Linked DNA regions of Xenopus tropicalis. The protein of the gene in region 7 interacts with the protein of the main gene of each other region in a pairwise test. Links are inferred from orthologs where the notes say so. Each region holds a gene or a part of one and is shown on either strand. Other genes may lie near its edges.

Region 1 (4,096 bases), on a different chromosome or scaffold from region 7:
GAGCGAATCTGTTCCGTTTCGCTTCGCCGAAAAATTCGCGAATCTTTGAAAAGATCCGCGAAACGCCGAAAATGTCGTGCGACAAAAAAAATTGTCGCCCGCGGCTATTATTTTGTCGCGCGGCTATTGTTTCGTCTCCCGCGGCTATTGTTTTGTCGCGCGGCTATTATTTCGTCGCGCACGGCTCTTGTTTCTTCGCCTGCGGCTCTTGTTTCGTCGCGCGGCTCTTGTTTCGTCGCTCGCGGCTATTGTTTTGTCGCGCGGCTATTATTTAGTCGCCCGCAGCTATTATTTTGTCGCACGGCTATTGTTTCGTCGCGCGCGGCTCTTGTTTCGTCGCCCGCGGCTCTTGTTTCGTCGCACGGCTCGTGTTTCGTCGCGCGGCTCTTGTTTCGTCGCCCGCGGCTCTTGTTTCGTCGCCCGCGGCTCTTGTTTCGTCGCCCGTGGCTATTATTTTGTCGCGCGCTATTGTTTCGTCGCCCGCGACTATTATTTTGTCGCCCGCGACTATTCTTTTTTTACGCCGGCGACAATTTTTGGACGTGCGGCGAATTTTTCCGTGGTTAAATTTTTCATCCGTTTCGCGAAACAATCCGCCAATGGCGAAACGCGGAAATTCGCCGCGAATCCATGCCTGGCGAAACTTTTCGCCCATCACTAATAATAGCCTCTGGGAAGGGACTGGGGCTGTGGGATAGCAGGTATAGTAGGGAGAGATGGTGCCTATAGTAGCAGTGGGATAATAGCCTCTGGGAAGGGACTGTGGCTGTGGGATAGCAGGTATAGTAGGGAGAGATGGTGCCTATTGTAGCAGTGGGATAATAGCCTCTGGGAAGGGACTGTGGCTGTGGGATAGCAGGTATAGTAGGGAGAGATGGTGCCTATAGTAGCAGTGGGGGGATAATAGCCTCTGGGAACAGACTGTGGCTGTGGGATAGCAGGTATAGTAGGGAGAGATGGTGCCTATAGTAGCAGTGAGGGGATAATAGCCTCGGGGAAAGGACTGTGGCTGTGGGATAGCAGGTATAGTAGGGAGAGATGGTGCCTATAGTAGCAGTGGGGGATAATAGCCTCTGGGAAGGGACTGTGGCTGTGGGATAGCAGGTATAGTAGGGAGAGATGGTGCCTATAGTAGCAGTGGGGGGATAATAGCTTCTGGGAAGGGACTGTGGCTGTGGGATAGCAGGTATAGTAGGGAGAGATGGTGCCTATAGTAGCAGTGGGGGATAATAGCCTCTGGGAAGGGACTGTGGCTGTGAGATAGCAGGTATAGTAGGGAGAGATGGTGCCTATAGTAGCAGTGGGGGGATAATAGCCTCTGGGAAGGGACTGTGGCTGTGGGATAGCAGGTATAGTAGGGAGAGATGGTGCCTATAGTAGCAGTGGAGATGACAGCTTCCAGTAGGCTCTGGAAGTGAAACTGAACAGAAAGCATTACTATCAGTATTGTCTTGGTGACAAGAGATACTTCATTGATGCAAGTTCCGGCACAACCAACTTGTCCCTAAGTATTCCTCATTCCCTTCTGAATGCAGAAACTTTTAATTTCACAGTACAGAACCAACAAGATGAGTCTTTGTGTCACTGTAATCGATGAGTCTATTTATCACAGAACTCTGCAAATGCTGATAGCCATTAAATGTAAGAGTAGATTTGTCAATCCTATTGAATAGCTTCCCACATAAAACTATGGATTTGTCTCAACTCCAGTACTTCCGCACTTCAGTACTTCCAAATGCAAAAAATAATCACCTTCTCCCCTTTCCTTTTATCTAAGAACTCTTTTTTTGTAAATTAGGACTATACTTACATACAATAAGAATTGCACTCAATGTTGCTATATAGTCAAACAATGTTGCTATATATATATACTGTATATATATATATATATATATATATATATATATATATATTATAAATATATATATATATAGTAAACAATGTTGCAATATGGAGTCAAATGTACACAAATATTTATACACTTATATAACTCTCTTCAAGTTTCAAAAAAGTGACTATTAAGGGCAGTGTAAAGGGTAAGTGCTTACACTGCTATTTGCCATAGCCATTCTTGTATGAATAGGGGAGTGCTGTCCATATCATTTAATAACAGCTGGGGGACCCCGGCTCCCTAAGTGAAACATAGAATAGGGCTGTACATATAAGGTACAGGCAGGGAACACACTTCTGCCCAGAAGTCATTTACCATAATATCAAGGGGCCACAATAACACCTCATCTTACTAAGCCAATACACTATATAGCCTGATGTACTGGCCCAGGGACTGGACCTTTATACATAACCCATTAAGGTTTAGGTGTTGGTGCTGAAGTACAAGGTACCACTTCTCAGTATAAAAGTAAAAGGGATGTTGTGCCAGACTGAGGATGCTTCATGCTCTGTATGCACTGCAGCCCCTGTAGTTGCCCCCAGTACTGAAGCAAATGCTGGAATTGCCTCCCCTTCCCACTCATGCCCTTACCTGTTCCTGTGCTGCTCCCACGCATAGTGCCCAGCCAGTGGGTGAGGGCTCCGGAGAGGGGATCTCTACCTTGGGGGGAGGCGCCCCCTTCCCTGCACAGACAAAGAGCCCACGCCGGAGGGTTCCAGGGAGATGCTGCTGGGGCTGCTGCTGCTGGGGCTATTCCCCTGCTGCCCTCCTGCTCCCAATCTAACGCAGTGTCACAGAGGGGAGAGTTCGCTCCTAAGCGCATCCACAGCCTGCAGTATCTCTGACCAGCGACCCTGAGGATGCAAAGAAGCAGCTGCGACGGGTCCAACCTCGCTCATCCCGAGCGAATCCGCTGGCTGCATCAGCACTCTCTGTTTATACTACGATTGGGGAGCCGCGGCGCCCTCTGCTGGCCCTACTGGGAACTGCGCTCGGGTAAACCAACCAGAAAAGAGCAGATGGGAGAATGGAGTCAGGATAGAGATTTGTTCCTTTATCTCTTCTTTTTATTGTGGCTGCTCTCTGTATCCTTAGTCTCTATCCTTGCACACTTCTATAGATATCATCGATATTGACACTTATTGGATGTGTCTGGTGAGGGTAACAGTCCCCAGTTAATAAATGGCTGCCAGGTAGCTGCTGAGGCGACCTTATTAGCAGCTGCGCTAGGAATAAACTGGGATAATGGGGTCAGTTAAGGACAAGGAGACAGAGCATTAGCAGGGTATATACTATTGCTATTTTATTATAATGGATTCATACATACTAATTGCCAGCATTTGTTTACAAAGTGTAGATATTTTATATAAACATATGTTATACATGTGATGCCCAAAACTTTTAAAGTTTTTGTTTAAGGTACACAGGTAAAGTAGGGTAGGGTTGCCACTTGTCCAGTTTTTACCCAGGCAGCCCAGTTTTCCGATACTGTTTGGGTAAAAACTACTAAATTAGGAAATCTGGACAGGACTTCAAATTAAATGGTGTGATGATCAGCCAATCACTGATTGCCACATCATAACCCTACTCCCTGATGTCATAGTCACACCCTGGAATGACATCCATCCCATGTCCTGTAGAGTGCTGGATGCTTACTTCTTGGGTTTAGTGTAAGCAGTGTCGGACTGAGCCAGTGGGCCCTGCCGGCCCAGACCCAATCCCCACCGGAGCACCCCTAGTCCAGTTATTTCCCTCCCCCAATGCGCTGAAGTTAAGCTTAATTAATGGGTGCTCGGTGGAGGGGGGTTGGGCAGGTGGCGCCCCCTGCAGGTGTTGTGGGGGCTGCTGCAGGGGCCCCTGCATGGGTTGTGGATTCGACACTTAGTATAGGCATAGGATCTGTTATACAGAGTGAGTTCGGTGGGAGTGAGTTCTTAGCATTCTTGAGGGAGGGGGAAGCAGGAGAGGGGAGAGAGCAGAGAGCTGCGTGTCTCTCATTAATTACAGACTCGAGAAATCTTTTGACAGAGAATTCAGTGCAGCATTACTGTAAGTGCTTATGGCTGTATTTACATAGACTTTTCTGATAAAGCTTACTTAGTTTTTACCTTTCCTTCTCCTTTAAGTCTGCTGAAAATCATTTAAACTTTAAATAAACCCAATAGGATTTCCACCAATAAGGATTCATGCATTTTAGTTGGGATG
Region 2 (4,077 bases), on a different chromosome or scaffold from region 7:
TATTTGCTAGAAGTTTATAAAACGGTAGACCCCTTGAAGATGTAGTTTTGAAAATATATTTTTCAGTTGAATCATCTCCACCTATTTAGGCTCAATTCAACAGGTATTGAGGAGCTCTGGCACCAGCAGAGACCCAATACAACTCAGGGTGATATAAGAGATGGAAAGGTGGATATAACCCAAACCATGTACTCAAGGCCAACCCCAGGTCAGAGCAGAAAAAAAAAACTATGCAGATCAGTTGAGAGAAAAAGCAGAGTAGCAGGAAGAGTTTTAGTAGATCCTCTAAACAGAAGTTTGAGCAACAGGTAAGGTTATAAATATACCCTTTAGAAGGCAAAACATGAGGAAACAGAGAATCAAAAGGATCAAAGGTATCAAGAGTATCAAAATGCACACACAACAGTGTTCCAACAATGACACAACAGTGAGTTAAAGGAATCCAAGCACAAGCCTGCCAGAGTGGGGCCTTCACAATACCCTTGAAATATAATAAATAGGATTTTTTTACACAACAGATTGTGCGGTAATCTGCAGCAGTAACAATCATTCAATAAGTAAATGACCACTGTAATAAGCAAATCTTAGAATAAGGGCTCTGGTACACGGGGAGATTAGTCGCCCGCGACAAATCTCCCTGTTTGCGGGCGACTAATCTCCCCGAAATGCCAATTTCCCTGACGCGATTTCCCTGAAATCGTGGAAGTTGCCTTGAGAGGAAACTTCCACGATTTCAGGGAAATCGCGTATGTCATCCCACCGCCGATTTACATTTTCGCCGGTGGGATGGCATTTCGGGGAGATTAGTCGCCCGCGAACAGGGAGATTTGTGTGCCAGAGCCCTAACCTGTAAAATATATCCTTACTTGTTAAATAGACTATCGATAATTAATTGCGCTAATTGCGCTATAGATAACATGTATAGGTCATTCAGGCAAAGCACAGCATTTCAGGGGCATAACTAGTCCTTAGGAGCCATTTAGAACTGCAAGCACAGTTGTACTCCCTTTTTTCCACACTGAGTTGCACATTAAACCCAATTCATTAAGGTACTTTCTTCAAAATACTCTTCTTGCACGTCCATATAGTTGTGCCCAACATATAGATGTGCCACTGCACTTGCAGACATACTTGACCCATATTAAAGTGGTGCACTTCACCAGAGTGCCAGGTGTCAAAATATAAAATATAGCTCATCTAAGCAGTGTATATCTTATTGTAACTGTATGTATGCAGCACAATCTCTGACTATAATATACAGTAGTTGTTTGGGTGACACCAAATTCTATATTATGAAAATTTTATCTGACTTTATAGCTTCTCTTTCATCAGAACATAGAATGGGCTTTGCAGTTTAGGCTTGATCAATATGATCCCATTTAAAAGACATAGTAATAGTAATGTAATAGTTAAAACAAATTCTATATCAAATCTTGGGTTGCAAAAGTAGATACTGTGACATACACTGCAGGTAAAACTAATCCTATATAAAAAGGTAACTTGTAGGGTATACAATAAATACTATATATTTGCCATCCATAGACTGGGCCTTTCAGCAACCAGATTAAACATGGCAGAATTGTTACATGATCCTCATAAGAAATAACGTAGAAATAAAATAAAGGCCCCCATACACGGGCCGACTATAGCTGCCGATATCGTTCCCTTGGACCGATTCGGCAGCTAATCGGCCCGTGTATGGGCAGAACAGAGCAGCCTGGCCGACCGAGATCTGGCCTGAAATTGGCCAGATCTCGATCGGCCAGGTTAGAAAATCCAGTCGGATCGGGGACCGCATCGGCTCGTTGATGCCGTCCCCGAACCGACTGCCCCATAAACTCAAATGTTATTTTTTTTTAAGTCCCTTGCTACCCGATATCGCCACCCGTAGGTGGGGATATAGGGTGAAGATCCGCTCGCTTGGCGACATCGCCAAGCGAGCGGATCTTATAGTGTATGGGCACCTTGACTGTAGTTAGGGCATTAGTTGCTCTTTATAAAAATATAAAGCCATAATTCAGAACTGATTGGAATTCAAATACAGGCCACACAGTGTTACACAAATCTGTGTAACACTGTGTAATTAATGCACTTTTCAGCAGCAAGCACTGCACTGCTCTCTCTCAGTGGCTTTGTTTAAGTATTTATGGTTACATGTTTTACACCTTTGGTGGGGGTGCACACTGAGATTGAGAGTTGAATCTGTAACCCTGGACAGCACAGTTACCTTCACTGATTGTGTTACACAAATCGAACAACACAGAATAGCCCAAGACAACTTTTTAAAATATTATATGCTGAAATTTCAATATATAAGATTCTGTTGGTTAGACACAAGAGAAACAGTTCTCACACTTACATAATCATATGTAACCGGAAAATGTTACAGAGCGTAAATCAATAAAGGACTGTAAAATTATGAGCTAAAATTAGACCTCTGGATTCTGACATATTTTTTCACAGGCCAGCCAATAATAACAGTAATTTTACTAGATTTTACTAGAGAGGGTTATCAAACTATAGTAAGTCATTATTGTACAGTAAATTACACACACAGGCTGAAGTAGCCTGGGACACACAAAGATACATGGTACTTGTGAAGATTTACCTGCTGATCCAGATTCTACGCTGCTGATAAAATATATAATCACATACAGTAGATTCGCCGATGTGTCCCTGGGACTGAGGCTTGAAAAGGCCAGCAGTAATTTTAGACAAAGTGCCCTGAAATACTAATGTCCATGCAGTGAGAGAGACTGACAAATATAGAATCTCCCCCAGCTGTCCTTCCCCTGCTAACCCTGCTCATGTATCAGAGGGAAGAAGCAGAGATTTGTGCCCGGGAATGTCTCAAACATGTCAGAGCAAGAGCTGGACAAATGCAAGCTGTTACATATATTTAACACACACACACACACATATATATATATATATCTATAAAGATTTCCTATGGCAGCACCACTGAAGTAGTAAATCCATGGCAGTAGAGGTAATCAACACCCTTAAATCATATAGAGAGTGCAACAAAGCATTACTGTTATTCTTTGCACAAAATCACACAACAGTAATAAACAAGCTCCAGACGTTAAAGTTTCTGAAGAATCCACTCCCTTTATCAAGTTGCAAATGTCTGATTAGCCTACCAAAGCTTCATAGCACGTCAAGTCACATATTACAGTCACATGATATAGATATTATACAGAAAAAACTTAGGTCCCATTGTAGTCTACAGACCAGCACACACTGAGTATCATTTAATAGATCCCAAAAGGGGAGGAAATTACAGCATGTAAAAAAAAAAGAATTTCTATATAAATATAGAAAAAAAACAGGGACGCTGCCATGAGGCAAGTAAGAAATTTGCCTCAGACTGCAATGCCCCAGTAATTACCAGGAGTGGCAAAATCTGCTCCTGGTAATCTTATAAGCCTAATTTCCTACTTATTGCACTAGAAATTCAGCTCTTATAGTGCAATTGCACTCTAGCAATCTGGCACCCCAAAGACTACTTCCAGTGCAAGAAAGGTAATTGCTGGGGGGTGAAGGTGGGGGCAGCATCTCAAGACCCATCTCAGAAAGGCTCATGTCATAGAATCACCCCTGAAATAAACAGAACAAAAAAAAAATTGAAGAAATAAATACCTCTGCATTTAAGTATGTTTGTACAGTCACCAACTTGTTGTCACTTTGCAACCTATTCCAGCACAACAAACAAAATTTAACAATAGATCTATGTTGTAAAATCTGACTGATCACATACTTGTAGTTTTGCTTGGATATATACAAGGCCACAGGGGCATCGTATAAAATAGCCAGATTGATCAATATTACTAACATTGACTACGATTATTGAACATTGTAATGCAATTTACATTGTGTGCAAGACCCATATTTGAAATTTTCTCAGAGATCCTAAAACCATAAGGGCAGTGGCAGGTGGCAAAAATAACATGTGGCAGAAATATCACAACAGCTTGCTCCTAGATCATATGCTGCTTTATTTTCTGAAATGCAGTCTGCAACAAATCTTTGTTACCGCGGGCGAATAATCTCCCCCAATGCCATCCCACCGGCAAG
Region 3 (3,982 bases), about 69 Mb from region 7:
CAATTCTGTACATGGTTCCATCTACAAACTTCAATCCTGTACATGGTTCCATCTACAAAATTCAATTCTGTACATGGTTCCAGGAACAAAATTCAATTCTGTACATGGTCCAGCTACAATATTCAATTCTGTACATGGTTCCAGCTACAAAATTCAATTCTGTACATGGTCCAGCTACAAAATTCAATTCTGTACATGGTCCAGCTACAAAATTCAATTCTGTACAGGGTCCAGCTACAAAATTCAATTCTGTACATGGTCCAGCTACAAAATTCAATTCTGTACGTGGTCCAGCTACAAAATTCAATTCTGTACATGGTCCAGCTACAAAATTCAATTCTGTACATGGTTCCAGCTACAAAATTCAATTCTGTACATGGTTCCAGCTACAAAATTCAATTCTGTACATGGTCCAGCTACAATATTCAATTCTGTATATGGTTCCATCTGCAAAATAATATCCTGTACATGTTTCCAGCTACAAAATTCAATCCTGTACATGGTTCCATCTACAAAATTCAATTCTGTACATGGTCCAGCTACAAAATTCAATTCTGTACGTGGTCCAGCTACAAAATTCAATTCTGTACATGGTCCAGCTACAAAATTCAATTCTGTACATGGTTCCAGCTACAAAATTCAATTCTGTACATGGTTCCAGCTACAAAATTCAATTCTGTACATGGTTCCAGCTACAATATTCAATTCTGTACATGGTCCAGCTACAAAATTCAATTCTGTACATGTTCCAGCTACAAAATTCAATTCTGTACATGGTCCAGCTCCAAAATGATATCCTGTACATGGTTTCAGCTACAAAATTATATCCTGTACATGGTTCCAGCTACAAAATTCAATTCTGTACATGGTCCAGCTACAAAATTCAATTCTGTACATGGTTCTGTACACAATTCTGCCTCCCTGCAGACTGGACCAGTGCTATAGAATGGGTTAGATAGGGTAAGTGCTAAATACACACAGAGCATAAGTTTCTAAATAGCCGCAGTAGTTACACTGAATTAAAGGCAAAGTTATATATATTTCGATAAGAAAGAGAGATCAGATTAACTCTCTGGGGCCTGGGAGAGGGGGTTACAATAAAGGGTAAGCTCACCTCTTCTAGAACAGTTGGTCCGTCTGGGAGCTTTCAGCCAAGCGTCTTACTCCGTCCCATGTCAGAGAGCAGGAATGGCAAGGAGAGAAGGAGAGGTGTAGAGCACGGGGGTTTGGGAGGGGCGAAGGCGGCTGTGTAGAAATGACTTCCTGGTCTGCACACAGTCGCATACCACAGTGCAGCTTCACAGTCTGCAGAGATCACTTCCCATTACTGGCTGCACGGCTGCTGCTGCTGGGGAGTCACATGGAGAGGCAGTGAGGTTAGGAACGTTAATGACCAATGAGCCACCGGGCAATAAACAGTGCAATATTCTAGTGATGCAGAGAGTGCTATTCTGAGAAAACTTGCAATTGGTCTTCGTTTTTTGTTATTTGTAGTTTCTTAGTTATTTCACTTTGCTCAGCAGCTCTCCAGTTTGGAGTTTCAGCAGCTATTTGGTTGCTAGGGTCCAAGTTATGTTAGCAACCAGGGAGTGGTTTGGATGAGAGATTGGTATATGAATAGGAGAGGGACTGAATAGAAAGATAAGGAATAAAAAGTAACAATAACAATAAAACTGGAGCCTCACAGAGCAATAGGTTTTGGCTGCCGGGGTCAGTGACCCTGTTGCTGGGGCTCCAATTACCTTAGCAACCAGGGTGTGGTTTGAATGAGAGACTGGTATATGAATAGGGGAGGGGCTGAATAGAAAGATAAGGAATAAAAAGTAACAATAACAATAAAACTGGAGCCTCACAGAGCAATTGTTTCCGGCTGCCGGGGTCAGTGACCCCCAAAGAGTTGGTAGAAGAAGGCAAATATTTAAACTATAGGAAATAAATAATGAAGACCAGTTGAAAAGTTGCTTAGAAATGGCCATTCTATAACATACACAAATTACCTTGAAGGTAAACCGCCCCTTTACGAGCAGCATTTGCCCAGCTCCCCCCCCTTTCCCAGGTATGGCAAGTCACCCTATCAGAATTCGGAGGAGAGCAAATATGCCACACAGCCCACATTCCACCCTGATTGGCATTCAGCCTCGGCATCCGGACACATTACACCACTCACGTGGCTAAAGAAGGTGTACTTTCCCTTTAATTGTAATTATTCATTTAATTGTAAGTAACGAGGGCAATTAGCGACTTACCTTACCCACGGGGGAAGGACTTATTCATCAAGAACGCACGGCCGGGTGGGGCAATTAATAGAGACCGGCGGATGCCTACAGTGCTCACTAATTGGCTTAATTGCACCCATTAGAGGTCAGCTGACCTCGCACACACTCGGCCAACCTGCTCCCAAAATCAACCCACACGGATACAGCCCCCCCCAATGTTATTGGCTACTCCCCCTTACTATTTAGCTCCTCCCCCAGCGGCTACGGTTTCTATATGTGCATACAGGACCCTCCAATCAGGATCCTGAAGGTTTTACCTTCCCATAATTCCAAGAGGAAATGGGTTTGGCCTTTACACAGAACACCTGGATCTGCTAAACAAAGGTGGGGGGGGGTCGTCACCAACCTGTGGCAGATACCGGACCCGTTGGGACATGTCGGTTGCCTGAGATCGTCACTGGGAATTCCACGTGCTCGGAACTGATTGGCTCGTGGCTTCCGGTGGCTGCATGTGGCTCGGCCGTTCCGCTGGGATTGGGGAGTCGGCGTTGGAGGCCGGGAGAGAAGAGAGGGGGGGGTCGGAGGAGTCTTCCGAGAGTGAAAATTGGGATAAAAGTGGATTAAAGGGGAAGGGGGGGGCAAAAGGTATTTGCCTTGGGTGTCAGTTTCGATTGCCCCAGTTCTGCTGTCAGTGACTTATTTTGGGGGTGTATGGATGGACAGATGTGCCCCCCTGTCCCCTCACACAGGCCATTGGGCTATCTGGGCAACCATGTATATGGCCCAATCACACCCGCCATGTCTATCCATTCAAGCTTTCCTCTCTATGATTTTATCTCTCCCCTCCTCGCACTAAATGACTCCCCTGGGGCACCATCTCCAGTATGCGCCACTGTCTCACCCCTGGCACCCTATACCCACAGCGAGCTACTCCCAAACATGGCAAAGCTGGGCATCCCATCTGATCTCCATATGGGAAGTGTCGTTCCAAGATGGCTGTACATGGGGGAGAGGCAAGGTGCAGGCGGTACATGGGGGAGAGGCAAGGTGCAGGCGGTACATGGGGGAGAGGCAAGGTGCAGGCGGTACATGGGGGAGAGGCAAGGTGCAGGCGGTACATGGGGGAGAGGCAAGGTGCAGGCGGTACATGGGGGAGAGGCAAGGTGCAGGCGGTACATGGGGGAGAGGCAAGGTGCAGGCGGTACATGGGGGAGAGGCAGGGTGCAGGCGGTACATGGGGGAGAGGCAAGGTGCAGGCGGTACATGGGGGAGAGGCAAGGTGCAGGCGGTACATGGGGGAGAGGCAAGGTGCAGGCGGTACATGGGGGAGAGGCAAGGTGCAGGCGGTACATGGGGGAGAGGCAAGGTGCAGGCGGTACATGGGGGAGAGGCAAGGTGCAGGCGGTACATGGGGGAGAGGCAAGGTGCAGGCGGTACATGGGGGAGAGGCAAGGTGCAGGCGGTACATGGGGGAGAGGCAAGGTGCAGGCGGTACATGGGGGAGAGGCAAGGTGCAGGCGGTACATGGGGGAGAGGCAAGGTGCAGGCGGTACATGGGGGAGAGGCAAGGTGCAGGCGGTACATGGGGGAGAGGCAAGGTGCAGGCGGTACATGGGGGAGAGGCAAGGTGCAGGCGGTACATGGGGGAGAGGCAAGGTGCAGGCGGTACATGGGGGAGAGGCAAGGTGCAGGCGGTACATGGGGGAGAGGCAAGGTGCAGGCGGTACATGGGGGAGAGGCAAGGTGCAGGCGGTACATGGGGGAGA
Region 4 (3,500 bases), about 16 Mb from region 7:
CAAGCAAAACACGAGCTTGAAAATATTTAGACACATTTCATCTAAACTTTGTATTAGGGAATGCTAAAAGATTTCCTTTCAGTAAGCTGGCCATACACGTAGCAATCATTCTTTATAATTACTGGTAGATGTACAGGGCTCTACTCTACGCACACGTAGTCTACCCCTAGTTCCAGCCATCATGCCAGGATGTCAGCTCAGCAGCTCTTTTTCCGAGCTACCCTGTCACCGACCCTGGGATTAACCGACTACACCGACGGCACAGTCACGGATTGTGCACTACCACAGGTTTTTAGTAATATGATTCCCCCATCACCCATTGAAATGTGTTTCAATAAGAAATCATTTACAAGAGGACTATAGCAGTTCCCATGGGCTTAGGGCCCTTAATCCCAGGTGTTTGAGACAACACAGAGTGTAAACTAACTGATTTCAACTTTATTTAACCTGGATGAGCGTTAGGACGTATGATTTTCAAATGAACCATCCCTTCAAATACAATAAAATAGAGATATGCACGCTAAACTTACCAAAGTGCATTTAATGCAAATGTGATATACAAGTTTGGATATCTTGCCATTTTTATAGTAAAGACTATACCTCCTACTGTTACTGTCTTTCAAAGAATAAGAATAGATGAACTGTAGAAGAATTAAACTATATACTAAATCCATGTTAAGATTTCTGTGAGATATTGGAGAGAGCTGTTACCTATGCTGCTTCTGTTGTGTGGTTTACCATAACAGTACAAGCAGCAAAACAATTAACTACTTACTTGTAGCATGAATTGGTGGTATTCCTGGGTATTCTGGTGGTGGGTACATGTCAACTGGAGGTGGTTGCATTGGAAAAGGTCTTCTAAAATAAGGTCCTCTAGGGTCCATTGGTAATAAAGGAACCCGCATTGGAGGAAGGGGATGGACTGCATATGCCATTGGTGGTACATCAGCTGTTTCCCCCTCTTTAAGAAGTGGTTGGTTGGAACTACCATGTAAAGTCTGCAAGATAAACAGAAATACTACATATATTGCCTCTCCAGAGAATCACTGAAAAGTTTATACCACATGGCTGCATACATACATCATTATCTTCAGATCCATTCCTGATTGTGTTAGCTGATTGACCATCTAAACCATGGAAGGAAAGAAACAGTTATCCACATATTCAAGTATAAACTCATTTAATTTGGTAGGGTTCCGGGATTTCCCGATGCAGGGTTGTTATGCCACTGGGACTCTACTGGTATCCCAACGAACTATTATTGATGTCCTGGAAGGTTTAACAGCCATACAGCCATACACTGGATAAGTATAATTTTATGGACTAGTTATGCTGTGGAAACCTGGGTGCTACTTGTTTATTCAACTTCATAACGGAAGTACAATATAAGTAACTTTGTGACAAATATGATTGAATAAGCTTCCCTCACAGGAGCTATACTGGTCATAGAACAGGGAGAGTAATTTTCAAAAAAGTGTTTGTATCCCTGTACAGCCATTGTTGAACTACAATTCTACCTAGAGGCTGCACAGTCTACTACTGGGCTTTATTTAATGCCACTGATCTTGAAAACCACTGGATATTGGTATAACCGAGTACCAGGATTGATTCTACTAGCCTTTTTACCATTTGGAACTTTTGAATTCAATACTGTGGTTAAAAATTGTGCTTGGTGATACCCCATTACTTCTATTTTAATTGGTAGCACATTGTTAGCAGTAGGGGGGGGGCCCTCTTGTATCCTCCTGTTTACGTTTTTATGAGAAAGGGAAGTACTTTTTTTTAAAGATATTTAAATAAAATGTAATATGTGGTTTTATCTATAAGATATCATTTGGTTTTTGAGGGATGTAGAGAATTATAGAGGAAAGCAGGCCAGCTGGACATTTGTGATTAGAGATATCATATTCACTTTGATAAACAATGAAGCTAGCAATAACTATAACATAATTTCCTTTCTTGTTGCAAGTGGGTCTTTGACTTAAGAGGGAAACTGGACAGTTGGACAATTTGGGTTTTTCCTTCCTTTTGTTCTAGGACATTAAATATGATGTTGCCTTTGCATTTATACTGCTTTAAGTTCTGAGGGTATTAAAACCTGAATCTGGCACTGCATTTATACTGCTAAGTAACCTAGCAAAATTAAACATGAAGTTAGCACTGTATTTATACTGCTACACATCTGATTAGTTTGGTAATCATGAAATATACCTTGACTTTATGGCTTGGTTGTATTATTGTTTTATGGTAAGACCTACAAAAAAACTTGTGGGGTGTGCTTTGCAAGCCTAACCTCAACATGTGTCACCAGATTTCACTTTGAAAATCTTGTAACCTTAATTTTGACTGTTAAGTGTGGCAGTCATATACTGGAAATATTCTACATGTAGCATACCTGGCAGATCTGTGAAAGATATCCCCTGATTTCTAGTGAGTTCTGCTGGTCCTGAAAATCGTCCTGATGATACAGGGTATTGATAAAATCTTTCTGGCCTTCTAGATGGGAAGGGTAGCTCAGGATATGGTAAACCTGGAAAAATTTAGCATTAAATATTATAATTATTAATATACACCAAAATCTATTTGAAGGTCAATGTTGTTTAAGTTTTAAAAAAAACTGTGAGCATTACACTGTCAAATCCCAATGTTCCAAGGCTTAGAAAAAGCACAAGGTGGCAGAACCTGATAAAACTATATGGACACACTTTGTACTTGCTCCAATGTGCATTTGTGTTTTCCTTATCACTGAGTGGTTGCCACATGAATAAGCACCAGGATTCCATTAAGAAAGGGACTAGGGTTTGCGTTTTTAATATTATCCCCATCTTGTGTTTCAAAGCTTCACCTGAATGTCCTTGTCTTTAAATAATGTTCATGTACTTTTCTACTGCGTTAAATGGACAAATTAAAAGAATTCATCAAATGGATCCTACAGCTGGATGGCGCCCTGAGGTCCATGCTAAACCAAGAAGCTTATATATGACAATTTAACAATCCTTCAAGGAGTTTATATTTATTTATTTTATTTTTTTTGTCACTTTGCCCACTTTAAAGAAGGCACTATATTTTTTACCTGGTGGTGGCATACTGGCTTTATGGTCTCTCTCCCATGGAGGTGATAAAGAACCAGCATCAGAATGTGTGCGCTGCTGATCTGCCTTTCGATCAGCATTTATGTCCCCACGTTCTTTAACTCCGCCATGTGCTGGGTAATATCCAGGAGGTCTCACACCTTGTTAAAAAGAAAGTGAATTATTTTGACATACATAAATAAACTGCATAAAGACAAGCAACAGATATATGCCATTACTACACCTTTCACTGATATGTACCCTTTAATGTCCTATCTTGCAATAACTACAGATGCATACTTTGCCTGTTCTATACCTTTTCATTTCCACTAACCAACCATTTGCTGCAACACCTAAAAAACCCCACCTCACTAGATACTGAAGCCCAGACATAAATATCAAATCTCAGATTTTTAAGGATATAAATAT
Region 5 (4,056 bases), on a different chromosome or scaffold from region 7:
TTGTGAGCAAATAAATTGATAAACACATAAATCATGGGCAGTAATACCCTAAGCATGTATATTGCAGCGCAATACAGAACTGGTCTTGTCAAGTTATACAGTACCATACAATGACTCTATGGAACAAGTGTATAGGTAAATCAGCAGCAACCTGCATTAACCTTCCATATAAAGCCACCCACAGCAACATCTAAACTGCAAGACCGGCCTGGCACCCTCAACCACAATATCATGTCAGATTCATGTCAGATGATATGTTTGGCTATATAATGTAAATCAATTCTACTTTAGTTCCAGAATACACTTTTATAAGAATGTCACAAATTACGTAATTAATAAGCTATATGTGATCAATACAAATATAGGTTTCCCCACATACAGTCAGGTCATGTTCAAAAGTTTGGGCACCCCCTGATCATTTACCTACTTTGTTGTGAGCAGTAAGAAGTTTATGCAGAAGCAATGTGCAGTTATCAGGGATCCCTGATAAAGTTCCTTTAACTACTACTGCAGGATTCTGTGTCTTGGTAGAAATTCCATTGAAGGAATAATGAGCTGAGGAATGAGTGTGGTAGTGGGGACTTGAGAAACTTTAGTTAACAGTGGAACAAGGGAACGACACACTTAACCCTTTAAGAGATCATCATATTCAGCATTAGGAAATGCGATTCTTGCACAGGGTTACACAGACCCCAAAAATGTATGTTTTATCATGTTGGCATGATGCTACGTGCATGTCAGTTAAAAAGTATTAACCCTGAAATCCTTGCAAATCTTAAAGCACAATTACTATTTACTTACAAAAAAACATGTTATGTGCATATTGTTTTGGACATCCCTTTAGAAAAAAAATAATGCAGCAATGTGACTAACCTATTGCCAGTTGTCACTGGTTTGTGCATTTAATTCTTCTGCACAAGTACGAGTGTTAAATCCTTACTAGGGACACCTGGAGAAGTGCACTGACCAAAAACATTTTGATTATAGGTAGAATCTATACTTCCATCTATCCACACTGGCTCGCCACACAACCCCAACAGAACCATCCACAAGCTAGTGGCAAGGTGCTCTTCAGACCCTTATTCTTTTTTCTCCAAACATATATGGTGATTGTAGCCAAAATCAATGAAATGTTTGTTTCCTAAAATTACAGCACTTGGTTCCAAAAGGTTATTGACTGTTCTAAGTGTACTGTTACATACAACAGGGCTGAGGGCGACTAATCTCCCTGCAATGCCATCCCACCGGCTAGAATGTAAATCGCTGGTGGGATGGCATATGCATCCCTGCGAAGTCCCGAAGTCGCCCAAAGTTGTCTTGAGAGGAAACTTTGGGCAACTGTGGGACATCGCAGTGACGCGTAGGGCCCACTTTGCCAAGCAGACAACAGATAAAGTATTCAGAATACAATGGGCTTTTTGTGTACACCAATGGGGTTGTCAACTGTAATTCACTGCTTTCTACAGCGTTCTAGGAATGAAAAATATTTTTATAAAAAAAAAAACAATGGTGAATGAAATGACTTGCCAATTCTGAGCAGACATTATTAGATTTAAATACATTTACAAAGTACTGCCACCTTTTTTTTTTTTTTGTTATTGGTCATTTTAAAGTCTTGCACAACCAAAAAGGATATATACCGAGCAGCAAGTTTTCAGCTAATGACATACAAATATTTAACAATGATAACACTATTTTTATTGTTAAAAAATTGATTCGTGAAACTCCAAAAATTAAAAACGAATCAAGTCAAGTCTTGCCCTTACTAAATCACTAAGCAATGCAGCACTGCAATGCCACTTTTACTTCATTTTCCCAGGTGTCTCACTTTAAACTCAGATGCACAGAAGAGTAAAATTTTCAGATTCATACAAGTTAAGGTATGGGATCCCTTATCTGGAAACCGATTATCCAGAAAGTTTCGAACTACGGAAAGACCCTCTCCCATAGACTGCATTATAAGCAAATAATTCACAAAATGTTTATAAATGATTATCTTTTTCTCTGTAATAATAAAACAGAACCTTGTACTTGATCCCAACTAAGATATAATTAATCCTTATTGGAGGCAAAACAATCCTATTGGTTTTATTTACGGTTTACATAATTTTATTAGCAGACTTAAGGTAGGAGATCTGAATTACAGAAAGACCCCTTATCTGGAAAACCCCAGATCCTGAGCATTCTGGATAATGGGTCCCATACCTGTATTAGGATAAACACATTGCAAAGGTAGGTAAAATGGTGAAGCCGAGCTGCGTTGTTCCCCGGGGCCAGTGCATTTTTGTTTGTTAAAAGGAGCAGAAAAAATAACCTTGTCCTTTAAAATAGGGACACATCTATGTGGCTGCTCCAACTAAATCCAAGTCTTTACTGCATTGGGCTGTGCCCCTTTTTCAGTTTAGTGTAATTTATTGGAGATTTATCTCAAATCCACATATACAGATTCTGATTCTATTGTGGTTTTATAATCAGCTGAATCTTTTGTAAAGGATTCAATATTTGGTCGAATCAAAAATGACAGGTCTTGTAAATCCCTAGTTTAAACAAAAAATTGTATTAAAAAAAAAAAAAAAGAGAGAAGCAAAAGAGTGATGGGAGATGTAAACATTAATGGCAGAAGGGCCACAAAGGCGACTTCCAATCTGCAAGCAGACTGGCCATTACTGCGGGACCATGCTCCTAGTTTTATATCATTTAATAATCATTAACACATCGCGCCCTAAAAGCTGCGCTCACCACCACGGTCAGGTCCTGCACTGTCTTAGGATCTGTCTCCGACATAATGGATCCTTCTCCAATACCAAAGCCCTTTCCGGCCACACAATCCACCCCTCACCGCAGAAGCTTTTTTTCAAGAAATATCGCGATAGTTCAGGAGACTGCTGACCAATAGGCATCAAGAGTAGGAATTTCCCACAGGATGTTGTAGTAGTATTAGAACGAGGCTATAAACGCAAAGTTGTTGCCGGATGTGGTTGACGAGGTAGTTTCTATGGTGACAGGAGCGAATCGCTTAGGAAACGAACTACAACGCTGAGAAGCTTGGGTTGGGCCGCCAGGTTTCTAGGAGATCTGTTCCGCTTCATGGGTGCTTTTAACATAAACATGTGTATTGATGAAGATTATTTAGTTACATAACTTGCCGGGAAAAGCAATCCTAATGCAGGGCCACTTTTTATTCGACCCCTTAAAATCGAAACTAAAAAATAAATGAATAAAAATAATAGTGCAGGACCAAGTATTCAATATACTTATACAGCCAATATGCATGTAATGAAGCGTCACAGTTTTTAATTTTAGCATATCGCATTATTTGCCTATTGTGAAACAATGTCTCTCAATTGATTACATGTATTAGTAATTATCCAGGTCCAACAGCCTCAAGTAAATATAAGGAAGGTAAGGTATGAAGTAGGTAGGGATGAACTGAATCCAGGATTTGGTTTGGGATTCTGACTTTTGTAGCAGGATTTGGATTTGGTGAACCCATGTCTCTGGTCGAACTGAATCGGAATGCTTAAAACTTTTTGCCACATAAACCCGGAAGTTGAAAATGTTTCTGTTTAGACATTTTCTTCTATGATCTTGTCCCTGCTAAACAGAATTTCCATTTATTTGCTTAATACCCTTTTACATGACTTCAGATTAAAGGAGAATGCAAGTCAAAATTTAAAAAGCATACTGCCCAATAGTCCTCCTATTGTTTAGTAAAAACGCCACACTTTTGGCTCACCTAATCAAATATTTACTCAGTCACACTTACTTCACATTTTCTAGAACAGGCAGCCATCTCTAAAAAGGTATTCTCTCTTCCTTTCCCTCCTTGCTTCATACTGCACATGTGTTTCACTCCCTCCCCCCCTCCCCTCTGCCAGATCCGCTTCTGATTGGCTGGTGGGCATGTGTAGCTCAGAACAGGAGACAGGATCAAGTTACACACATGCTCAGAGAATAGGAAGGCTGCCGCTGGCAGCCTACAGGAAGGGAAGAGAGATTTCAGTGATGTCACTGTAGTCTTCACACTGCTGTAGGCTGTCAGCACCATATCTCAGA
Region 6 (4,027 bases), on a different chromosome or scaffold from region 7:
TACTTAACTCTTCAGACACATCACATACAGTAACAGAATTACCAGCTGCTCCTTCCACTGTAAGACAACCAGGCAACACATCAGCTGATTTTAAATCGGTAAAATTGATAGTATAACCAAGTAAAGTAATAACCAAAAAGTAATAACCAAAAGTAAAGCAGAATTCACACCAATTTTGAATTAATTAAGAGGAATTCACAATACAGGTGAAGTTTTACACTGAAGCAGTAAGCTATATTAATAAAGCACTATATACCTCTGAAAGGTTAACTGCAATGAAACAAATGAAAACAAGTCCTACCTGATAGGACTTGTTGCTACATCGGAGTTAATTCTACACCTGTGTTGTAAATTCACCTAGCAAGTTTCCAAGTTATTAAAGTTAAAGTCGCTAACCTGGCCATAAATATGTACACACTAAAGAGATCAGGCCACAAATTCAGAATTGCTTATTGAACCCACTGTGTGGTGGGTCAGATCTGACTATCTTGCCCTTTTAGACCCATATCAGCTCAGGCTGATTGACCACTGGGACCGCGCCAAGTACCTGACTGTCTGACATGGAAATATATGGGCCTTTGTAATATTCCATATCAGAGTTGTTCCTGAACTTATGAATCATGTAAGGTTTGTGACATAAGGGGAGATTAGTTGCTCCGTAACAAATCTCCATTATTGTGGTGCGACTAATCTCCCCGCAGTGCCATCCCACCGGCGATTTACATTCTAGCCGGTGGCATGGCATTGCGGGGAGATAAGTCGCGCATGACTAATCTTCCAGTGTGTCACAACCCTAAGGCGTTAACAGTGACTCTGATCTCAGGGTAGTGTATAATATAAACACAGATGGAACAGTGCAACAGCTGACCAAGGGCTATCACATCATAAAATGCAGTTACTTTTTAAGTCTATCTCCTAACGCTGTTGTGTGAATTAGATACACCTGTGATGGACAAGGAGGAGACCCACAGACCAGTATGAAGTGAAGGCAACAACTGTAAACAAAGGAACAACAACAAAAGGATGCCCAGCAGGGCGAAAAGGCAATGAATAGCAATTTGCTCATACCCTCAAGGTGGTAGAACAGGTTTTTAGACCATGGGAATAAAGTTCAAGAATGAGAATCACAGTCTGTACAACACTGTAACCTACATGACACCTTTAAAGGAACAGTAACACCAAAAAATGAAAGAGCTTTAAAGTAATAAAAATATAATGCACTGTTGCCCTGCACTGGTAAAACTGGTGTGTTTGCTACAGTAACACTACTATAATTTATATAATAAGCTGCTGTGTAGCCACGGGGGCAGCCATTCAAGCTGGAAAAAAGGCGAAAAGGCAGAGGTTTCATAGCAGATAACAGATAAGTTCTGTAGAATACAATAGTGTTTTATCTGTTAACTGCTATGTGCCTGTGCCTTTTCTCCTTTGAATGGCTGCCTCCATGGCTACACAGCAGCTTATTTATATAAATTATAGTAGACTTTCTGAAGTAAACACACAACTTTTACCAGTGCAGGGCAGCAGCACATTATATTTTAGTTACTTTTATACCCTTTCATTTTTTGGCGTTACTGTTCCTTTAATACCATTATTTGGGAAACTAATCATCTAAAGGACACTACTAACTTGGAGAATTCTATGGGTCATCATACAACATCAACCTAGCTGTGACTGTTCTTTGGGTGTGGCTATCCTGGGAAAGGGCTAGTAAGAGTTATGCTTAGTTGAATGGTATCCCTCATGTATATAAACAGCATTTGTTAGTGAAGTACTTTTCTCTCCCTTCTATTGCACCTTTTCGTTTCCCCTTTTACCTCCCTCCATTTTAGTTTCCCCTTTTCCTTTTCTTTTACTTTATTATTTTGTAAACACATATACCACTTATTTAAAAATCAGGCTACAGGGTGGAGCTTGAGAGAATAGTCTAAATGACTGATAACTTTAATGAACTAAAGAAGGTCTTGACCAAAGGTTGAATCTTCAATGCTGGAAGGCAGAACTGAAAAAATCCGACACCCACTATAAAAAAAATGCTACTACTAACCTTCAGTAGCAGGGTGACAAACTCCAGGTGTAGTCACGTTCTCATCTGTGGCTGGAGGAAGTGAGGGGCTTGATGAGGTAGGGGAAGGCCCTTTGGCTGTGCCATTCTCCAGTTCTTGGTCCTTCATGACTCACTTCTAACAAAAGGTAACAGAAGCAAAGTATGGCATGTAAACAAGAAACTTCACGTTTTTTTCTTAAGAATCTAGTTAACCCTGTATGTTTGTAGGTATAAAACAATTCAATCAATGAACCTTGTTAGCATTAACCACTAACTTATCAAGTAGTTAACCACCTAGAAATAGATAACTCATAAGCTGGCACATTGGATATGCATAGCTCAATGTGCAGAGTAACTCCAGGTCCGGCCCATGCCATGACAACCCTTACTAATGTAGGTTTTGGGGCAACTACTAGTCTGCATAATGGGCACTCCACACCTAAACTGAAGATTTGCATCCCCCCACATTTTATACTTCTTAATTGTTTTATTTATGCAGGGCCACTACATGCTACCTGTTGTCAGCAAACTTGTATGTTGTCCTTGTCGCTCTACACACGGAAGCTGCACCTCAAGCGATGCAGCAGTATGACAAATGATGTAGTTCTGGTCTGTTCCTTGTGTAAGCGCTGAACTGTACACTTGTTTCACACAAAGTTGTTGTCCCTGCCAGTGAGGTTGCGCTGACTCCTTTTCCCGGAGGACACGATTAATAACCGGATTTACCTCACTCTTGCATCCGCTCCGGTAACGCTCACTCTCTGCCGGAAGCCACAGGCACAGGCACAAATCCAGGCCGCAAGCCGGACACTTCTTAGCCAATGACACGCAGCTCCAACAAGCCTAAAGGCCAATGCGCTCTCAGAGGCGGGTCTAACGGAAACCTCTGCGTTCGGAAGCAAGATTTATCGGCGCTGCTGTTGATTATAAGGAAACAGAAACTGTATAGGGCGGTAGCAAAGGCGCGAAAGTAAAAACTACAATTCCCTATAAGCCTTGTTTGTGCGCAGTCGTACGCATGAGTACCACCTTTTTGTGCGCTCGTTTGTTATATATAACTAAGATTCATTAAACTGTGACCCTTGATTTGACCCTGTTCATATAGTTTTCTCGTTTTAAACAGGTTATATTTATAAAAATAAAGCAAAGGCTTATTGAAAGTTTTTTAACATTTCTAAATTGAAATAATATGCCCTTGATACCGTTTCTTTTTATTAACATTGTTAGTTTGTCAGTCACAAGAATAATGATACCTCAAACATTGTTTCCATAACTAATAACATATTGACCCCCAGTATTTCATAAAATCCTAGTGGCCCTAGCAACAAAGACATTAGCAAGATGGGGCTGCTAGTGGGGGTCACCCACTCAAAAACGTGTGGCCCATTTTGTTTTCAATGCGGCCTTGCTAACTGCGATTTTACTGTGGAACTCACTGTTTTTCCAAAATGCAGCTTTTTTCCCTCAGAATTCCAGCATTGTTGTTCTCACATAGGGACGTTGCGCCTGACACAATTGCAGGCACAAGCAAAACCACGCCAAGCCCAACTATAATGAAAATGTAATAGTTTTATCTCATGGAAATGAAAAAAACTTTAAAAATATAATCAATTAAAAATTCTGCTAATATGCTAAGGGGCATATTTCTTTTATTTGGGCACAAAATAAAATAAATATGCTGGTAGGTGGCAGGGGCCTACCACGCAGGGTCCCTGTGTGACCAGTGGGCAAATAATTGGAGGGGAGGGTCCTGCTTAGTAGTATGGGCCTCATGACTACTGCTGGCGCACTCCTTTCCCATATCACAGTATACTTTCATGGTATCACATTTACAATTATTACAGCATTATTTATACTACTTTTAAGGTACCTTAGTATTAACTGAAGGCAAAGCTCTAAATAAATTTTTGGATGTTATGGGACATCAGACGGTAAAGGTGGGGGTCTATGCAGAAGAAAAGAATTGGGCTGCAATGATTA
Region 7 (3,500 bases):
TTTACGCTTGCCGAAAATATCCGCCTACGCCTCATCTGCCATTAGCCTAAAGGGTTGCAATGATAAGGAAGTGCCTGCTTATGTAAATGCTGGGCAGCATAAAAAATAATAAGGTTGCACTCACTAACTGTGTGTATTGTGTTTGTTCTTTCTTACATTATTCTGCATTTGGATTGCTGTGAGCGGTCACAAATTGAATAAATGTTAATAGCTCTCCTTGTTTTATGCTCCGTGTGGCATGATGGCACTGAGACTGCAATCAGAGCTAAATAATTCAGTTAATTTATGCAAACCTAAACATGGCTTTATTTTGTAGGGCGTACCCCAGGATTATGAGAAATTTCAACATCTTCTGTCAAGATGGCGTGAGAAGGTTTTCTGCCTCATGGTTCAGCTTAAATCTGAGGAAATCAACAAAGAAGATGACCATAGAAAAAGCAGAGAAAAAGTAAGAAATGGAAGAATGGTGTTGAATGGAGATTGAAAAAGTTGTGTGCGAGAGATATTTAAAAAGCAGTGTGTCAGTAAACAATGCACAGACATTTCTGTGATTGCAATTCAACTCTCTTTTGTTCTTTGTTTACAGTTACATTTTAGCCGGCTTGTTTTTCATTTATTGTAGATCTTATCCCTGGAAAAAGCTCTGCAAGAAAAAGATCAGGAGCAGATTTTACTTTTACACACCCTACAAGATCGTACAGCTGAGCTGGAAATGGAGAGGGTCCACAGTAAAGTGAGTATGGAACCTTATAAATTGGGCTTCATTGCAGTACTTTTAAGGTTAAGGGCAGTGGTTAGTTTTCCAACAGTAAATAATAAAGCTTCCCAAAATTTCAAAAAATGTTCTATTCGGAACATAAAACTGTTTGTGTAGTTCAGTATAGTCATCAGCCTTTATTTGTGTTAGTTTTATGTTTAATGCAGATGCTTAGGGGCTCATTTACTAACCATCTATTTTTTATTTTAAACTCAATTCAGATATTTTTCGACATTTACTATGCATCTAAACGGCTAAAAATCCGAATTTCATAATTTGCCTGATTAAATTTGCTGAGTTCATGTAGAAGTTAATCGCAAAGGTCCCTTCTCTTAAGGTTCTTTCTTTTATTTCAAAACCTTTGAGATTTTGCAGGGTTTTGTATGAAAACTCGACTTTTTCCAAATTGTTGCAGTAAATTTTTTTAGTAAATATTAGACATTTGGGAAAATCAATTTAGTTGAATTTGAAAATAGAAAAAAGTAGAAATTATGGCATTTTAGTAAATCTGCCCCCTTAATGTTTGTTCTGTATACAGACTAGGGATGCACCAATCCTTAAAATCATGTGACTTTTTGTCTCACAATCGTAGAAGCTGAAAAGTTTTCAGCACACACTACATGCGTGGTTCTCTTTAACCCTTCCTTTACCTAATTTACATATTAATTCCGTATTCGTTCAAATCTTTGGCAAAGTATTCAGGGTTCAGCCGGATCCTAAAATAGTGGATTTGGTGCATCCCTGGTACAGACTTGTTAAATAATGCTTTGGGTGGCTAATGTCAATACTTTTGCATTTAACTTGGTCATTTCATCTAGTGCCCCCACATGGCAAGTCACTTGGCTCATTTAATTAGCTTGTGTGTGTTTGTCCAAAAAATCTAACAAGATGCATCTCTTTCTGCCATTATTTGCACATTGCCATAAAAAGCAAATTATGTCTGACTTTACATTCCCGGCATTCCTGGCTCTGACTCCTGAAACAATGTTGCAAGCAGGCTAATTAAAACGACCTGGAGGTCACTAAAATATTGGCCAATAGGTTATCTACTCTAGCCCCTATGCTAATCCACCCTGACCAGGTGGGTTTTATAACAGGGAGACAGGCTGGAGATAACACCAGAAGGGCAACTGTATTACTGGAGGCAGCACAAAAGCTAGGCAAACCTATGGTATTTTTAGGGTTGAATGTAGAAAAACGTTCTATCGCTTTAGCTGACCTTACCTATTTTCCCTTCTAATACATCTTGCCTTCAAGGGCCCTTTCCTTACAGCTATACAAGCATTATATAACTCTCAAACGGCCCAGCTTAAACTCCTGGGCAAGGGTGCCCTCTATCCCCTCTTTTATATGCTCTAAGTATAGAGCCCTTGGCAGCATATATTAGAGACCACCCAGATATTCAAGGGCTAAAAATCTCCTCCACAGAATACAAAATAGCATTGTTTGCAGTCAATGTACTTCTATCAATAACCAGCCCACACACATCACTCCCTGTCCTCCATAGTATCCTTAGCACCTATAGCAACCTGTCAGGATATAAGATCAATATGGACAAGTCAGAAGCTCTTTCACAAGGTATGCACCCCATGACAGCTGAAGCACTGAAAGAAAAATTTGCCTACAAATGGAAAACAGATAAACTTACCTATTTAGGGGTCTGCCTTACACCTTTTATATAGTTCCCTTCTTAAAGGACATGTAAACCCCATACACAAAAATTTAATCAGTGATCAGCCTCTTTTAAATCTTTCAGTATGTGCCACACTGGTTGTCCAGAGGTTAACAGTTAGGCTTTAACATTGCTTCTCCTCCTGTAACCCACTCGGCCCCCTCCCTCAGGAATTTGCTTTGGCTGTTGGCTTGTGGGCATGCTCAGTTTTTCTAAGCTCAGATTACTAAACATGCCCCCAGTCTAGCAGCCAGTGAAGAGATGGCATTGCTGGTTCCCATAGAAACTCAGCTCTAGCTGTCTGCTTCAATTTTTTTTTTTCCTGAGCTCAGCTTTACCTACAGTGCTCAAACAAAGCAGAACTTTTATCAGAGACAGTTCTGCCTGTGTGAGCCTGTATTGTTGATGAAATTTATGCTGCATAAGGGTTTTTGTGTGTGTGTATGCTGTTTGCAGATTTAAATGTAACTGATTATGTATCAGAGGAAAAATGGCCACCGGGTGAAAGCAGCTATTTGCTTTAGGAAAATGTGATGGTGCTGGCTAGCGGAGGGGTATATATGCAGTACAAATGATGCCATTTGGGTGGGGGTGATGTGCCTAACTGATATACATTGTAGGCAAATGTAGGCTTTACATGTCCTTTAAGCAAAATTATTCTCCCTTGATTCACCAAACAAAACTCACGCTACATAAATGGTCAAACTGGTTTGGTCGTATTGCGGCAATTAAGATGAATATCTTACCTAAATATTTGTATTTATTCGAGACCATTCCGGTGACAGTACCTACTAAAATGATAAAGGAAGTTCTAAGTGCTTTGTAGAAATTCATTTGGGGTAATAAAAGGCCTAGAATTTCCAGATCAATCCTATTAACCAATATGTTACAAGGCGGCTTAGGAGCCCCCTCTATCCAAAATTACCATGATGCAGCTCATTTAAGGTGGATATCCGCATGGTCCCACTATCATACAAGCCCCCTATGGGCTAAAATTAAAAACCCATACCTACAGCCACAACTGATGAGTTCCTGGATCTGGACCTCAGGCCCTTATAAGGCCTTCCCAAA

Evidence for each region.
Region 1: the proteins of cchcr1 (region 7) and mtus2 interact in binary tests that used the Homo sapiens proteins (3 or more experiments, as listed by UniProt). The link is inferred for Xenopus tropicalis from reciprocal best matches to the Homo sapiens genes CCHCR1 and MTUS2.
Region 2: the proteins of cchcr1 (region 7) and fsd2 interact in binary tests that used the Homo sapiens proteins (3 or more experiments, as listed by UniProt). The link is inferred for Xenopus tropicalis from reciprocal best matches to the Homo sapiens genes CCHCR1 and FSD2.
Region 3: the proteins of cchcr1 (region 7) and card9 interact in binary tests that used the Homo sapiens proteins (3 or more experiments, as listed by UniProt). The link is inferred for Xenopus tropicalis from reciprocal best matches to the Homo sapiens genes CCHCR1 and CARD9.
Region 4: the proteins of cchcr1 (region 7) and mia2 interact in binary tests that used the Homo sapiens proteins (3 or more experiments, as listed by UniProt). The link is inferred for Xenopus tropicalis from reciprocal best matches to the Homo sapiens genes CCHCR1 and MIA2.
Region 5: the proteins of cchcr1 (region 7) and hsbp1 interact in binary tests that used the Homo sapiens proteins (3 or more experiments, as listed by UniProt). The link is inferred for Xenopus tropicalis from reciprocal best matches to the Homo sapiens genes CCHCR1 and HSBP1.
Region 6: the proteins of cchcr1 (region 7) and txlna interact in binary tests that used the Homo sapiens proteins (3 or more experiments, as listed by UniProt). The link is inferred for Xenopus tropicalis from reciprocal best matches to the Homo sapiens genes CCHCR1 and TXLNA.

Annotation. Positions count from the first base shown.
Region 1 is NC_030678.2:154,747,922-154,752,017, forward strand, and holds the start of mtus2 (microtubule-associated tumor suppressor candidate 2), read right to left. Parts: upstream 2,801-4,096; 5' UTR 2,483-2,800; intron 1-2,482. UniProt on the Homo sapiens protein: Binds microtubules. Together with MAPRE1 may target the microtubule depolymerase KIF2C to the plus-end of microtubules. May regulate the dynamics of microtubules at their growing distal tip.
Region 2 is NC_030679.2:105,256,613-105,260,689, forward strand, and holds the start of fsd2 (fibronectin type III and SPRY domain-containing protein 2), read right to left. Parts: upstream 2,801-4,077; 5' UTR 2,609-2,800; intron 1-2,608.
Region 3 is NC_030684.2:6,411,995-6,415,976, forward strand, and holds the start of card9 (caspase recruitment domain-containing protein 9), read right to left. Parts: upstream 2,801-3,982; 5' UTR 2,623-2,800; intron 2,431-2,622; exon of another isoform or gene 2,247-2,430; intron 1,349-2,246; 5' UTR 1,115-1,348; intron 1-1,114. UniProt on the Homo sapiens protein: Adapter protein that plays a key role in innate immune response against fungi by forming signaling complexes downstream of C-type lectin receptors.
Region 4 is NC_030684.2:90,894,349-90,897,848, reverse strand, and holds part of mia2 (melanoma inhibitory activity protein 2), read right to left. Parts: intron 3,233-3,500; coding exon 3,074-3,232; intron 2,531-3,073; coding exon 2,396-2,530; intron 1,128-2,395; coding exon 1,081-1,127; intron 999-1,080; coding exon 776-998; intron 1-775. UniProt on the Homo sapiens protein: Plays a role in the transport of cargos that are too large to fit into COPII-coated vesicles and require specific mechanisms to be incorporated into membrane-bound carriers and exported from the endoplasmic reticulum.
Region 5 is NC_030680.2:62,632,887-62,636,942, reverse strand, and holds the start of hsbp1 (heat shock factor-binding protein 1), read right to left. Parts: upstream 2,801-4,056; 5' UTR 2,785-2,800; coding exon 2,740-2,784; intron 1-2,739. UniProt on the Homo sapiens protein: Negative regulator of the heat shock response. Negatively affects HSF1 DNA-binding activity. May have a role in the suppression of the activation of the stress response during the aging process.
Region 6 is NC_030678.2:86,591,482-86,595,508, reverse strand, and holds the start of txlna (alpha-taxilin), read right to left. Parts: upstream 2,801-4,027; 5' UTR 2,563-2,800; intron 2,184-2,562; 5' UTR 2,175-2,183; coding exon 2,048-2,174; intron 58-2,047; coding exon 1-57. UniProt on the Homo sapiens protein: May be involved in intracellular vesicle traffic and potentially in calcium-dependent exocytosis in neuroendocrine cells.
Region 7 is NC_030684.2:75,158,315-75,161,814, forward strand, and holds part of cchcr1 (coiled-coil alpha-helical rod protein 1), read left to right. Parts: intron 1-316; coding exon 317-448; intron 449-622; coding exon 623-733; intron 734-3,500. UniProt on the Homo sapiens protein: May be a regulator of keratinocyte proliferation or differentiation.